2 linked regions of the Tamandua tetradactyla genome follow. The protein of the gene in region 2 interacts with the protein of the main gene of each other region in a pairwise test. Links are inferred from orthologs where the notes say so. Each region holds a gene or a part of one and is shown on either strand. Other genes may lie near its edges.

The links.
Region 1: the proteins of DTX2 (region 2) and STX12 interact in binary tests that used the Homo sapiens proteins (3 or more experiments, as listed by UniProt). The two-hybrid records come from large-scale screens. The link is inferred for Tamandua tetradactyla from reciprocal best matches to the Homo sapiens genes DTX2 and STX12.

What each region holds. Positions count from the first base shown.
Region 1 is NC_135328.1:198,555,020-198,562,312, forward strand, and holds the start of STX12 (syntaxin-12), read right to left. Parts: upstream 3,081-7,293; 5' UTR 2,928-3,080; coding exon 2,810-2,927; intron 1-2,809. UniProt on the Homo sapiens protein: SNARE promoting fusion of transport vesicles with target membranes. Together with SNARE STX6, promotes movement of vesicles from endosomes to the cell membrane, and may therefore function in the endocytic recycling pathway.
Region 2 is NC_135349.1:10,302,208-10,310,188, reverse strand, and holds the start of DTX2 (putative E3 ubiquitin-protein ligase DTX2), read left to right. Parts: upstream 1-4,882; 5' UTR 4,883-4,883; coding exon 4,884-5,042; intron 5,043-5,054; exon of another isoform or gene 5,055-5,146; intron 5,147-6,117; exon of another isoform or gene 6,118-6,226; coding exon 6,227-6,284; intron 6,285-7,738; exon of another isoform or gene 7,739-7,812; coding exon of another isoform or gene 7,813-7,831; intron 7,832-7,981. UniProt on the Homo sapiens protein: Regulator of Notch signaling, a signaling pathway involved in cell-cell communications that regulates a broad spectrum of cell-fate determinations.

The sequences.
Region 1 (7,293 bases), on a different chromosome or scaffold from region 2:
TCTAATCACCAGAAACCTTTTAAGGAGGATTCAGAAGAGACAGGTTCTCTTCCTGCTTTGGCTGGCAAGCCTCCATTGGAGTCCTAGGCTTCACAGCCTGCCCTGCGGATTTCGGACTCTGCGTTCCTGCAGTCAAGTGAGACACTTTTATAAATTTTTTATTTGCAGGCATTCCCTGTTGATTCTGTTTCTCTAGAGAACCCTAACTAATACAATTTATTATTGATATCATTTTGCCTATATATATGTATGTCCATACACACACTCTATCAGAGCAGGGGTTTTGACTGTCCTTTTCATCCTCTTGCCCAGGCACCTAGAACAATGCTTGGCATATAGTAGATGCTCAAAGAACGCTTGCTACATGAATGCTCCAATCTACTATATGCTTGGGACTAAGATAAATTCTAGAAATACAAAGATGAGAAGTCATGTCCCCTACCTCAAAGGAGCTAACAATCTAGCAGGGGAGACAGACCACACCTCAAGAAGAGAAGGAAGAGAGCGTCACAGGTTCAGGTATTCCCCATAGTTTCCTCTATGGGGTGAAAAAACAAGTCACCTGTATAGTTGACGTGTTAACCACTACAGAACTGTAATAATTGATTTTAAAAATTATAAAAAGGCTGATGTTCACAAGAGACAGACCTATTCCAATTTGGCTTGCCATATATTAGCTGAGCAGTATTTAACTACTCTCAGCCCATTTCCATAAAATGAAAACAATATCGGTACCTACTGCACAGGATTGTCATAAATTTAATTAAGACAATGCATGGAAAGCACTTTTCATACTGCCTGGCACACAGTATGTACTCAATAAATGTTAGCTATTAATGCTATTAGTAGTTGACTTCAATGATCCCCTTGGGCCCAATATCAAATCAACAGCTAAGTCTTATTAGTTCTATCTCCAAGCAAACCTCTCCTATCCTTTCCTTCCTTTTCGTTCTCACAGTCCCTGATAGCTGAGTCCAGTCTCTCTTCCTTCCAATTTAATTTACACATTCCTAAATAATTAATTCTAAGCCCCTTGGCCCAACACTTAAAGCCCTTCATGTGTGGTGCCAACTTACCTTCCCAACCCTATTTTCTACTGTTTTCCTGAATCCATCACTCTAGCCAAACCGAATTACTCTACTTTCCCATATACACCCCATGCTTTTCTACTACCGAGACTGCTCATTTTATTCTCTCCTCCTGGAATGCTCTTCTCCTCTTTACCTTCAAAAGTCCAATTTCTTTCTATCATCATCTTTCTAGATTTAGCTAGAATACTATAATCTTTCTCTGATACCTCCCCAAATGGAAATGTCCCCTCTCTTCCCTGAATACCCAGATAATGTCATATGTGTGTCTTCTATAGCACTGATCCCTTTTGACTTTATTTATATTCAGGTTATTTATGTATTTCAAAGGCCTGCTGACAAAAGAATCTGTGCCAGTTCCTATACTTACTCCATATCCAGGTAAACAAATAACATCTTGAATGAATACTTCACAAACAAACAAACACAAAAATTAGATTTAACCTCAACAAGAAGCTTTCAGCCTTCAACCAGAATTTTCTGATCTAACCAGTATTTCATCTCCCTCACAAAAGGAAACTGAAGCACAAAGTAGTATCCTTTCTATCCACTGGTCATGTTAATTTATTTTTATTTCTGGATTTAACGGACCATACACGTTTCTCTACTTCCACATCACTCAATCTCAATTCCTTCCCATCAGAAACTTTCTGCCTCTCAAATTTTCATTACACATTTAAATTTAAAAGCAAAGTGACAGTTTATCCTTTAAAATACAGGACATAATTGAATTCAGGACCCAGTAGTTCTATTAACAGCACATAGCAAAACTCACAAATACACAATACTAAACAACAATGATGATAATCACCATTCTTTCCAAGTAAAGTTGCTGCTGCTCACCACCTGTTTACAAGGCTCTGAATTCAGACTTATGCTAGTCTCACTAGCCACTGATGGTGGGGAGGGGATTTGGGGACATTCTGAATTCTGCCACCAACTCTACCAGGTCTTAGTGTGTGATTGTGGTCAGATCCCTGAGCCTCTCCGTGCATCAGAATTGTTGGAAAGAGTAGCTCAATATGGAAGGAAACTAAAGTCTCATCCCACTTGTAATCCAAAAACATACATAAATCCTTTGCTACACAAAAGACAAAATAATGTAAACTGAGATGTTTTCAATGAATTCTCTTTATTAAAACAGAAGTCATCCCATACCTAAAACACAGTCATTGTATCTGGTTCCCATATTCATTACAGAAAGAACTGTTTATAAAGTCATCCAAATACACGCACTCCGTACTTCCTTTCACTGAAAACTGCTAATTTAGGAGGAATCAGAGGCCGAGAAGAATGTCAATGTAAAGCCTAAATCAGTAAACAACCCCCTATCCAAACTGGCCAAAGAGGGAAGGGATGAGGGTGGGTGGAAGACGGGTGACAGGAAAAACTCGGCTGACTACTAATGCCAAGCCAACACCACACTGCTCTCGAGGTGGCATCCCCTCAGCCTCCGGCTGTCAAGTCTGCAGTTTCGGCCCCAAAACCGTAATAGCTGAACTCCTGAAAAGAACCTCGAGCTTCAGCTGGGGTTCGGAACCCTCCAGGAGCCAGGACCTGACATACTAGGGGATGGCAGCTCAACGCCCCAAGAGTGGAGAGCCTGACGGCCTCAGGCGTGGCCTTCGCTGAAGCCCGAACCAGGCTCCGCGTCCCGGCGGCCTCATCCAGGCCTGTCCCCGGGACGGCGCCCGCCCCCCAGCCCGGTCCCTCCGGCTCACTGGCTTGGCTGATCCGCTGGATGTTGCCGCTGCACGTCTGGATGATGCTGTTGAAGTCCCGGAGCTGGGGCCCCGAGGGCCCCGGGTTCCGGTACATGTCTAAAGGGCCGTAGGACATGACGAGGAGTTGACACCCGCGGGCCGGGCACTGAGCTCCGACCGGAAGCAGCCGTCAGACTGGACCCGCAGGCCGACCGGGAAACCGGGAAGAGAAGGGCAGGGAAAGAGCTGAGGCTGCGCGCGCATTAGCCCCCGCCCTCACGCAGTGCGCATGCGTCGCTGGAAGAGTGCCTGGGGCTGTAGCTTAGAGACCCGACACACAGAGGTTTGGGGATGCGGGGCGGGGCGATGATGTCACATAATTGGGACTCAAATTGGGTACGTCAGTGGCGGGGCACAGTGACAGGAGGCAAGAATTTACTATTTGCATAAAATTATACCAGATGATCTCAGCCATTACTTCCCATTCTGATCTATTCTGAGAAGTCAGGCCCGAGTCTAGGAGAATTTGACAACCTCGAAACTCATATCCTTAACCTTAAACTCATATCCTAAACCAAACTCCTGAAATTCCTTTCTCTATTTCCATCCTTTAGGGGCTCTAGTAGTATTTGCGGAGCCTACAACCAGTTTCATTTCTCCCTCCACCCCTTTTCTAATTTTAAATATTTTTTTTAATTTTATTTATTTATTTTGTTTTGTCTTAATATTTTTGAGCACCTAGTGTTGTGTGAATCCTAAATTCACTTGTTTACAAGCTCTTTCACAGTAAGGATCGATGTTCTATCCATATAGAACTTGCTGGGAAACTTGCAACAAAAGACACTGTTTCTCTGGAGGTCTGATATAAGCATTGCACCATGGACCATTTTGAAGAACTGGATACGTTGCATTTGAATATTCCAGTCATCTTGGTATTCTTGGCTACTGAAGGATTTGGTTTGCCATTTGAGTGCTGTAGATTAGGGGATATCAGTTAAGTGTAATATCTCCTGCTTGAAATCTCTGAAAAGCACTGAGCATTCATTTGCTTTTTGTAAGTAGGCAGACAGTACTGTCCTCCATTTTCCTAGATCTTGTCAGGCTTTCATCTAAAAGTTCTTCCTTACCTGCTTACTTGTTCATTTTTTGTGTGTTTTTTTTCCATAGGAAAGAATATATAAATTTGTAAATCCTCATTCAAAGAAAAAAATTATTTTGAATAAATAATAGACGGTCAATTTTTTAAAGCTGAAGTAACTCTGCAAAGTAAGCTTTATTTTTTTCCGTTTTACAGACGAGGAAAAAATAAGGCCATAGAGGTTAATTCGCTTTAATGAGATTTGACTACAAAACTCATACACTATGTTGACTCCGTCATCATCTCTCTATTTCCCTAAAATTCAACCCCGTATTCCCAAATTCATTCTCCATCTAATCCCTCCCAAGTAGCCTCTTCATGTATTCCAAACCGGGATTTCTTGGGGAAATAGACTCCCAAAATTTAAAGTCATTTCCTTAAGTAATTTGGAGTATGCAGCCTCAATATTCCTACAGAAGGCTGCATTGTGTGAGCAAACGATGAAGGGAAAGACAGCAGTAGGATTTGGGTTTGGGAGGAGATCAAGATAGAGAGAAGTGAAGGGAAATAGGCATTTTTTCCTGTGTTCTTCACTCCCCCACCCTCCACCCCCAAGCATGCCTTACAGTCTCTGGAAAACGGCAAAGAGAGGAAGCTGTTTGCCTGTTTACATCTTGGGAGGGGTCCCCAAATGGGTGAATAAGCCTGCATTCAGCCTTAGAGCTTTTGTAAACAAGTCTATCTCCTTTTTTTTTTTTTTCCAGCATCTCTTTCTGTATAGGAGACAGTGATACTGGGGGTTCTCATACTGGTTTTTAAAACTACTGTTCTTAGAATCCATAGTTTTATGTCAAAACTTGTAATAAATCATGCATATTGTACTTTTTACCCAAAAAACTGTCTTGAGGATGTTTTGACACTACTTATAGTGAAATTCAGTACAGCTACTTATCTCCTAGGAATTGAAGATATAGTTGTTGCTGTTATTTTCTTCCTCCGTCTAAAATAAAAGTGGTTTTCCATCTGTGCAGCTCTATAGCAGTGAACTTTTGCTTTGCAAATACTAGATGCCAAATAAACATTTATTGAACTCATAAATGAATAATAAAAACTAACCTTACCATTTCATAAATGCCTAATCAGGTGTTAAGCAGTGTACACACGTTCTGCGCACATTACTGGTAATCCCCAAGATAAAGCCCACCTTAAAAAAAGACTACCTGTGCTCTAACAAAGTTAGGCATACTAACTTGCTGTTACAAGGAAGACTTTACCCAAGAGGAATCTTCAGGCATCTTGATAGAGTTATTCTAGGTCTTAGGGAAAAGATGGAGTGAAGGTAAAATTTAAAAGAAGTGATGTTTTGACAGCCTCAAAGCACACCAGGTTATATGCAAAGAGATTAACATCAGGTCCGACTAACCAGGAGATTCAGGATCCTGTCTCCCTGGAAACCACAATGTGACGATAAATGACGAATGTTGTATATGGAAACCCCTTATCTGAAGCTCTGCACCTGGGTTGGAAAATGGAAATTGCTATTCAGTGTCAAAGTAACTCAGATCCTCCAGAGTAGAGTGAAATGTTCCACTTCTACTAATATATTTCAATCAGCATATTTTCTGAAAATCTATTATTTTAAAGGATAAGTTTCTCAGTACTTTGCTCCTTTGTTCATTAACAAAAGCAGTTTTCCCATCAAGGTGAGATTAGCTACTTGGTACAGTAAGGAGACTGTTCTCAAGAGGTTGTGGGTCCTTGCCCAAGGTCATACAGCAAAGCCAGGATTCATACATATCCTACAACTGAATAATTCTACTCCTAACTATATATACCCAACAGATGTGTATACATATGCACTCAAAAAACAGGTACAGGAATGTTCATAGAAATATTCTTTTAAAATTAGGCAGCATTTTTTTTAAAAATCAAGATTACCAATAGAAAGTGCATAACACTCTAGCATATTTTTAAATTTTATTATTTATTTCTACAACCAAACACTTTGTCTTCCTCCCACCCTTCATCTGCTGTTAACCTCTAATGTGATTTCTATGGCTGCAAATTTGCTATACCTAGTCATCGCCCACAAATAATATCGTATAATTTTTGTCCTTATGGACAATGCTTATTTTATGGAGCAAAAACATATATATTTTTTTTACATGAGCAGGCACGGAGCAAAATGTTTTTAAGATTATCCTCTGTTGCAGCATGTCTCAAAACTTCATTCTTACGGCCAAATAATATTCCATTGCATATGTGTAATACATTTTGTTTATCCTTTCATTTGTTGAAGGACTCGGGGGTTTTTTCCAACTTTTGGCTATTGTGAATAATGCTGCTATAAACACTGATGTACAAGTATCTCCTTGAGACTCCTGCCTTCACTCTCTTTGAGTATATAACTAGAAGTGGAATTGCCACTTACAGTGGCCAATAAAATATAATTTTATATTTAACTGTTTGAGGAAACTTTATTCTGCTTTCCACAGTGGGTGCACCACTTTACATTCTCACCAACAATGCACTAGAGTTTCGATTTCTCTGCATTCTCTCCAACACTTATTTTCCATTTCTTTAAATAATAGCCATTCCTATAAGTGTAACGTGGTATCTCATGGTTTTGATTTACATTTCCCTAATGTCTGTTGATGTTAAGCATCCTTTCATGTATTTATTGGACATTTGTATATCTTTGGAGAAATGTCTATTCAAGTCCTTTGCCCATTTTTGTAAGTGAGTTGTTTGTCTTTTTGTTGTAGCATTATAAAAGTTCTTTATATATTCTGGATATTAAGCCCTTATCCAATATGTGGATTGAAACTATTTGCTCCCATTCTGTGAGTTGTCTTTCTATTTTCTTGATAACTTCCTGTGTACAGAAAAGTTTTAAATTTGATAACATTAAATTTATCTATTATTTCTTTTGTTGCTCATGCTTTTGGTGTCATATCTAAAATCTATCAGTGAATCCCAGGTCATGAAAATTTGCTATGTTACCTTCTAAGAATTTTACAGCTTTAGCTTTTATATTTAGGTTCCTGATCCATTTTGAGTTGATTTTTTTAATTATATGGTGTGAGAGAGGGGTCTAACTTCATTTTCTGCATGTGGATATCTAGTTTTCTCAACATCATTTGTTAAAGACTAATGTTTCCCCATTGCATGTAATTAGCACTCTTGTCAAAATCAATTGCCCGTAGGGTGGGCCACAGTGGCTCAGAAGGCAGCGTTCTCACCTGCCATGCCAGAGACCCGGGTTCAATTCCTGGTTTCTGCCCATGCAAAAAAAAAAAAAAAAATCAATTGGCCATAGATGTGTGGCTCTTATTCTGGAATTTCAATTCTGTTCCTTTGATCTATTTGTCTGTATTTATGCCACACTATTTTTTTTCATTTTTATTTAATTTTATTTCTTCTA
Region 2 (7,981 bases):
TGGGGCTTTCTGAAAGTGGAATGTCACTCAGAGACATTAAAGAGGTGGCAACTTCTTCCAATACAGGTGTCGGGGTCAACGGGGAAAAGCACAACTCCCACAGGCTCTGACATCTTACCCCCAAACAGACAGCACAAGGTCAGCTTCACTGGTGGGGGTTGGTTCCCTGTGGCCAGGGGCCTTAATCGATGGCTGATACTGGGAGATGTGCTACCTGCACCATCCCTCTCTGTGTACCCCCAAGTGGAGGAACCCCCTGCTTCCCCACCAGGGACAGATATGCCACCAGGCTGGGGGGCAGGGTGTCAGCAAACACTCTCCAGTGAGTGTTACGTGTGCTTGGGACAACAGGGGAAGCAGCCCCTGTATCTACTGGGAGATTGTTTCATCCAGCCAGGCTGACACACCTGGCCCCTGGCAGAGGATGTATTTGTGGGTCCCAGTTCCCTACCACGTGGTGGCGGCGGAGCAAAACCTCAAAAGGCCAGAAAGGAGATGACAGCTGGGCAAAATGGGTAAAGAGAGAAGGAGGATCTGTGACACTGGGGGGTGGGGGTGGAGAAGAGAGGGCCTCAATCTCTTGTAAGGGATGGGGTTTGGGTTGCTTGAGGGTAAACCAAAGGCTCCGAGTAGGTGAGGCTGGGAGGAATCAGGAAGGGGCCCTAGGCCCCCTGGGGTCCAGCCTCCTGGCTCCTACCTGGTGCAAGCTCAGCAGGTCGCCCCATCTGCAAAATGGGGCCGACAGGACTGCTTAAGGGTAAAAGGAGGAACGCCCTGGTAGCAGCAGGATCCTGGTAAAGAGCTCCAGGCAGCCTTCAAAGCCCGCCCAGCCGAACCTGCTTCCTCAAGGAGATGCCTCTCCTTCACATCCACCTCCCTGCAGACAGGAGAGTCATTTCTGGCGGGATTGGAGAGAGGAATAAACGAGACTCGGCCTGAACGAGCTATTTGGTCTGAGGCATGTGGCCAGTTGGAGCTGTTCTATAAGCTAATGCTGACCCCAGGACACCCTGTGTCCGTCCCTGCATCCAACACCCATCCGTTACTTGGCTTCAAGTTCCTGTATGTTGCGACATCCTGGGAACTCATCTGTCAACTTCTGCTGTCCTCTGCAGAAAGCGGAAGCGGCTATGCGTGGCGTGGGGAGGAAGTGAGTCTAGGACGTGACCCTGTCAGCTCCGGCCGATTCCAGATGGGCCTCAGCTCAGCGCGGGAGCTGGTCCCAGTGCAGCTGGGCGGCCGCACAGGGGCGTCTGCCTGGCTCCCTGCCTCCCGGTGGGGCTCTGCGGCTGAGGGTTGGCGTCACCTCTGTCTACTCACAGCCTCTCTCCAAAGGGTTTGGAGCAGCTTCCTAGGCTAGCCCGGGCAACTGTTGGGGAATCAGCACTTTTAAAGTCGATTTTGTGCTTCCTGGTAGCCAGGAAAAGAAAGGAGGTGAGGTGTGTTAAAGGAAATAATAATAAGAAGAAAGTAAAATTATGACTTTCATACAAATATAAAATGAAAATCAAAGTTTTTGTTTAACTTATGAATTGAGGCACGTAAAAAACTGGTTTAAAGGTGACTCCAAAGAAAAGCACATCTAGAGGCCATATCAGGCACAGCAGGAGGGCTGAATGCTGAACCGAATTTGCTGATAGATGCAAAAATAGCCTCTTCCGCAGCACGGAAATCAATTGCATCTCTATGGACACGAGTCATTTGCATTGCTCTCAGTTTTCTCCAGCACACTGAGTTGTAAAATAGCTCCGTGGAAGACAATGAAATCAGCACCCAGGAGTCTTTTTGTCCATTTCAAAGCCTTTTGCAATTTCCCCGGCCAGGTGATAGATTGATTAGATTTCTTTAGCTGTGGATTCTAAGCAGCTCCTAAGGACTAATGGAAGCTTTGGGGAGAAGAGTTTGGGTATCATCAGAAAAGTAGCACTGGCCTCCCAAATGGTCTTGCCTGCCTTGTGTACACACCACAGCAGAGCCTCGTTCTGAGGCAACTCCTCAATCCCCAGCCAGGATGCTGGAGTGTTAATTTATGGGGTGAACAATAACTGGTGGGTGGGGACAGGGTAGAGTGTGGTTGCCTAATGCTAAAACCAACTTCTCGGTTGAATTGACCTTGAGCACATGGCGGTTACTTCGGGCTGACAGCTAGGCAACGAGCAAGAACGTGTCCCCAGGGGCCGGGACTTACATAAAACAAGGCTTTTAGGGAAGACCACGTCACTCCTCAGGGCTATAAAGCCACCTCGCCTTTGTTGGCTGTGTGTGTCACACCTGGGCCCACGGCCCGGAGATGCCAGGTGCTGTCCATTAATCAGAAATAATGAGCCAGGCAGCCGTGGCTTCTAATCAGATACAATCCCTCTCTCCAGAGTGTCAGATGGAGGCCAATTAGCCGAGGCACCGAGTGACAAAATTCCGCCTTTCCAAGCAAAACAGCAGAAAATGCTCAAGCCCCTTAGCGATGCTGCGCCCTGGGGTCTCACCTTTTCTCAGGTTTGTGTTGATTTTTTTTTCTTGATCCCGGGAGATTGAGCCGGGGGTCCTAGGAAGGCAGACAACTCTGCCACTTGGAGTGAAGCTTGAGCTGTTGTGTGTCGTTTTGTTTGTTGTTTAAATCTCGGCCTCTAGCCCCCACCACTCCCCATTCCGTGGCCAAAAGCTCCATCCTTTCTGGGGCCACGTAGTTCATTCTCAGTTGCTTGAGGGCACATGCAGGCCTGCAGGTGGCTCACACCTGAGCCTTTGGGTCCACTTCCGGGCAGACAATTTAGGAAGAAGAGCCCCAGCCAGGAACATTTCTGCTCACTTACCCATTGCTGCTCGCTTTTCTGCAAGGCATCCCTAACCATTCTTATTATGTTCGATGGCAAGCTCAACATTTTCTAATAGAAAAAAAAAAAATAGCGTGAGTACACAGTAAATTAAAAAAACAAAAATAAGTCCTCAGGCTATCCCCAACTTCTCCTGGGGGTTTTTTTAGGTCTGCTTACAGAAACTTCTAGGCCTACAAGCTTGTGCATGACTTTTTGTTTTTTTTTTTAAATACAAGTAGATGCCCATTCTACTCTACCCACACTTCTGAAAGTTCCTTTTTTTTAACTTAACAATGGATCTGGGTGGCCAGTCCCCCAACAGGGCACTGGCAAGTCTTCTTCATTCTTTCTAAGAGTTACCTACTGTTCCAGAGCTATTTAACCAGCCCGTCCTGCTGGGCATTTAAGTTGTTTTTGGTCTTTTGCAATGTTCATTGGCTTAAAGTTCGGTTCTCAAGTTTCCCAGTTCCGAGGGACTTCCTGCTGCCACCTCAAAACCTAATGCACTCAGCATTCACCTGGCCAAAAAATGAAAGTCCACATCTGTCTCCCGTTCTCCCTTTTGCTGCTGCCCTATTTTGCTTCTTTTTGCAACCAGAACTCTCTATTTGTTCCTCAATAAAAATAGTTTTTCTTTTCAGGTTATAAAAACGGAGCCCATTCATTGCGACACACTTACTTGACACAGAAAAAAAAAAACAAAGCAAAAATCACCTGCCGTCTGCCTCTCGGATGTGACAGGGTTGCATATGTCCTTCCAGGTCCCCTCTGCACACACAGCACTATGGAAAACCTTATGTAAACCGCACGTGTGCCGGTCATTTGTGACCCCACCACACATTCTCCACAATACACTGTGAATACAAGGATTTGTCTTGGAAGAGCCATCTACCCTCCTAGATTCCATTCCTAAACTTCACAACCCACAGACATCTAGCTCCTTGAGCTCCTCCTTCTCGATGGAAAGGGTTCTTTGGCTGCTGATAGCCTCCCTGTAATTAAATCCGAAGTTTGGGATCTTTCTTTCTTTTTTTTTTTTTAATTAATTAAAAAAAGAATTAACAAAACAATTAGAAATCATTCCAATCTACATGTACAATCAGTAATTCTTAATAACATCACATAGTTGCATATTCATCATTTCTTAGTACATTTGCATCGATTTAGAAAAAGAAATAAAAAGACAACAGAATAAGAATTAAAACAATAATAGAAAGAAAAGAAAAAAAAAAGAGATGGGATCTTTCTTGAAGTCAGGTGGCGGAGATGGGAAGAAAACTGGGCTGGGAGGTAGGAGCCCTGAGTTTTGTCTGGCACACAGAACTAATTCCATAGAGACACTCCCCCTGGCTTCCTTTAAATCCACAGCTCCTGGTCCAGCAGCGCCCCGGCTTCCTTCCCCAAGCCCTCCAGCTCCTTCCCTGATCTTCAAAAGTCAGCATTCCTCAGCCTTGCCCTGGATGTACCTTTTATCACCCTCTACATCTCACATTGCCTGGGACTCAAGAAATCCTTATCTGCAGAACAGGTCTCTCCTAAGCTCCACACCTGGCTCTCCCCAGACCCCAGACTTGATTCCCCAGAGCTGCTTCTTTTCTTGTGTTCTCTATCTCCTGCCCCTCTCCACCAAGACATCCATGTAAGTTCTACTTCCTGCCTCAGTGGAAGTTGGGGAGCTTCTCGGTCTCCCCAGCCAGAACCGGAGGGTCCTACCAAGCCTCCCCCAGAGTTCCAGCTCCCTCAGATCTCTGGGTTTGGAAGTCCCTCCTCTTCCCAGAACCTGGTTCCAGAACTCTTCCAGCCCAGAGTCTCCCAGGAGGGAAACAAAGTTTCTGGTACAATTTTTAATCCCCAGTATCCAGCAGATGTCCTGGAATCATGCAGTACCGCGAAAAAATTTAAAGATGAGACGGTGAATTAATGAAGGAGTGAGGCAACGAGCGAACAGGCGAAAGAACAGATACACCTGAACAGGTGAGGCTTGGGCTCAGTCCCGCCCCACCCCCGGAAGCCCCGCCCCCCGGCTGCCCTGCCGGAACTACATTTCCCAAAAGGCTGCGCGTCCCGGGCATGCGCACCGGAGCGCTCGGAAGCTACGACGCCGAGTTTCAGTCTGGCTACCGCCTCCTTGGAGTCGGAGTCACAGCCCGAGCTCTACCCCAGCTGAGCCGGAGCTGCCGTCCTAGCGTAGCGGCGCTCTCAGCCCGCCCTCCGCCCGCCTCAGCCTCGGTGAGAGGGGAGGGCAGGCCGCTTACTCGTCGCCGGGGCTGGAGGAGACCGAGCCGAGGCCGGAAGAGGGGCGGGCGTGGGACTGAGGGAGGGCTGGGCCGGGGGTGAGTCCGTGGGGACTGAGAGGATTGTCTTCCGGGCCTGGGGTCCTGGAGGTGGAAGTGGGGGAATTGGGAGGTGCTGGGTGGGAGGGTGGGCTCCTGGGTGGAAGCCGAGCTAGCAGGGGAGCGGGAAGCTTGGGTCGGTCGGGAGTCGTGGATCCCTTTTCCCCCGGGACCTCGAAGAGTTGGTGGCGGTCTTGCCCCCGGGCGACCTGGTTAGGGTGTGGGTGCTGCTGGGGCCTCCCACCAGGGGAGGGAGTACCTGGGGCCCGGAGCTGCGCTTTGGAGGAGTTTGCCTCCTGGTTCTGTTTTCCTCAAGTGAGGTCCGCTTTCTGGGAAGCTTCTGTTTTGCTGGGGCCCCGGGTCACTTTTGGGTGGTGCCTAATGTATGCTTGAAGAGGATTTAAAAGACTTCCTTTCTCGGGAGCGCCCCTTTCATCTGCCTTTCCCAGTCAGCTCCTGTCCTCCACGGTGGTTCCACTTCCCTTAGTGCTAACAGCAGTGGAATTAGGGCGTGTATAACAGACGCCTGGACCCTTGAGAAAGGCATGCTATCCTAGCCTCTCTAAAAGGTAGTTCTAGAAGGTAAGAATTCCTGGTAGCCAAAGTCAGGGTAGCTAGAGCTCTTGTTCAGTTTGCTGTGTGACCTTGGCCAGACTTTTCCCCTCGGTGCCGTGTGGGTGTTTTAGATACCTACCCTGCCGAGTGGCTTATGAAGTCCTTTTAGGCCTTACTATGAAATGTCTCAGGAATGAAGTTGTGTGCGTGTGTTTTGTTTGTTTTTAACTACCCCCTTGACTGTTGGAAGGAGAGAGCCTATTGTACCTTCTGCTCCGTCCAGGCTGATTGGGAAATAAATTTGGTGGTTTCCAGCCCTCCAGCTGCAGCACATGTCTCCAACATCTGTGAATCTGATTTCACTAACTGCTGTTTCTCAATTTTAAACCTGATCATCTTCTTCCTTGTTGGCAAAGGTGCCTTGGAATTTGTGTTGCTGAGTCAGCAAGCCTTTCAGATTTGCCCAGTTTTTGTTGTTTACATTTTGTATCAAGATGGGAACTCAAACAAGTCATTCCTCTTAAGGATCTGGTGACTCCATCAAGAAGGGACAGTTTGTGCCAGCTCTCCAGCAGAAAAAAAGGTGAGAGCCACGGGGACTCTACTTTGTTGCCTTCCCAATCTGGTTTTCAGTAGAGAAGGTGGGGTCTGGGGAAGGTGGAATGAGGTCTCCATCATTGGAGAGAGAGTGCTGGAAATTGATTGTTGATTAGCAACTGTCTCAAATAAATTAAAGTGGCTTTTTGCCAGCAGCTTCTTCTGGTTAACCAGTCTTAGAAATGCTTTCCACACGGTTTCCACTTTAAGACGTGCCTTTTAGGATAAAGGTCACAAGTCATGATTTCTGCTTTCACACTGGAAGTTTTATTTCTTTTGTCACATTAACCTTTACTGGGTGCCTCCTTTGTGTCAGGCTTGTGCGCAGTGCTGGGGAGACAGTGATAGGAGTACAGATCTCTGCTTTCTGGGAGCTCATTGTTTGGTGGACACGACAGACAAACAGCAGTTAGTGATAAGGTGTTGCAAGTGTGATACACGTGGGGTGTGGTGGGAGGGATTCTCTGTAGCGGGTGAGAGTGGAGTTGTTGAAGGGGGAGGAGGATTTAGAAGGGATGGGTTAGTAGCCTGGTAGAAGATTCAGCAAATGCAAAATCATGAAGCAACACGGTGTGTATGGGCTGCTGTAAGTAGTTCAGTGTGGCTGGAGCAGCAACAGGAAGGTGTAGGGTAGAGGAAGCTGGCGAGGTAGCAGAGGGATAATGTGGATGGTTTGTGGCCATTCAAGGCACTGGGGAGCTGAAGGATTTTGAACAGAAGAATTCCACAAGGAGTGTTTTTTGTTTTATTTTTTTTTAATTTTTAATTTTTTTTTACATGGGCAGGCACCGGGAATTGAACCTGGGTCCTCGGGCATGGCAGGCAAGCACTCTTACCTGCTGAGCCACTGTGGCCCGCCCACAAGGAGTGTTTTTGAAGCGACATCACCTGAAAATTAATAGAATGGGTTAGACTGGATTATTCTCTTAGCTTTTAAGCTGCCTGATTCATTTCTCCATATTTCCCCCTGTCTTATTGACTGTCTCTTTATGCCATGTCAGCTTTTGGTAGAAGGGAGAGAGGCGTCAGGGCCCTCAGGTTCTTGTGGTCCAATTGAAGAGAGAAAATGGACATAGAGAACTAGGTTTACTTTCTGTTGTGCCCAGCAAGGAGAGAACTAGGTTTACTTTCTGTTGTGCCCAGCAAGGAAGTGCTGTTTAATTGGGCCTTGAAAGAATGGGTGAGTTGAGAATGGGTGGTCAAGTGAGGGGAATTCTGGGTAGAGCAGAGGCGTGGGTGTGGGGAAACACCAGGTGTATATGAGGGATGGCAAATTATAACTTAAACTGTCTTAGAGAGACTGGAGAGGAGGAGGTGTGGATGAATGAGGGTTCTGAAAGGAAGCGCACTGGAAAGTGCTGTGGGCAGGGAGGGAGGGACCAGATTGTGATGGGCTTTGAATGTCATCCTAAGGACTTCGAACTTTATTCTGGTGCCCAGGGATAGTGTGGAAGACACTGGTACCTGGGGTAGACCAGAAGGAGAGATGGGAGTTGGAGAAGCCAGTCAGGCGGATGGGAAGTACTTATCAAGGTGAGAGCTGGGATGGTTCCAACCAGATGCTACAGTGGGGGTGGAGGGGAGGATGCCGGGGGGGACGGTCTGAGGGGAGGAAAGAGGCTGAAACTGGGCTATGGGGAGAAGGTTGAGGAGGAACAGGAATTCCAGGTTTTTCCTCTTTTT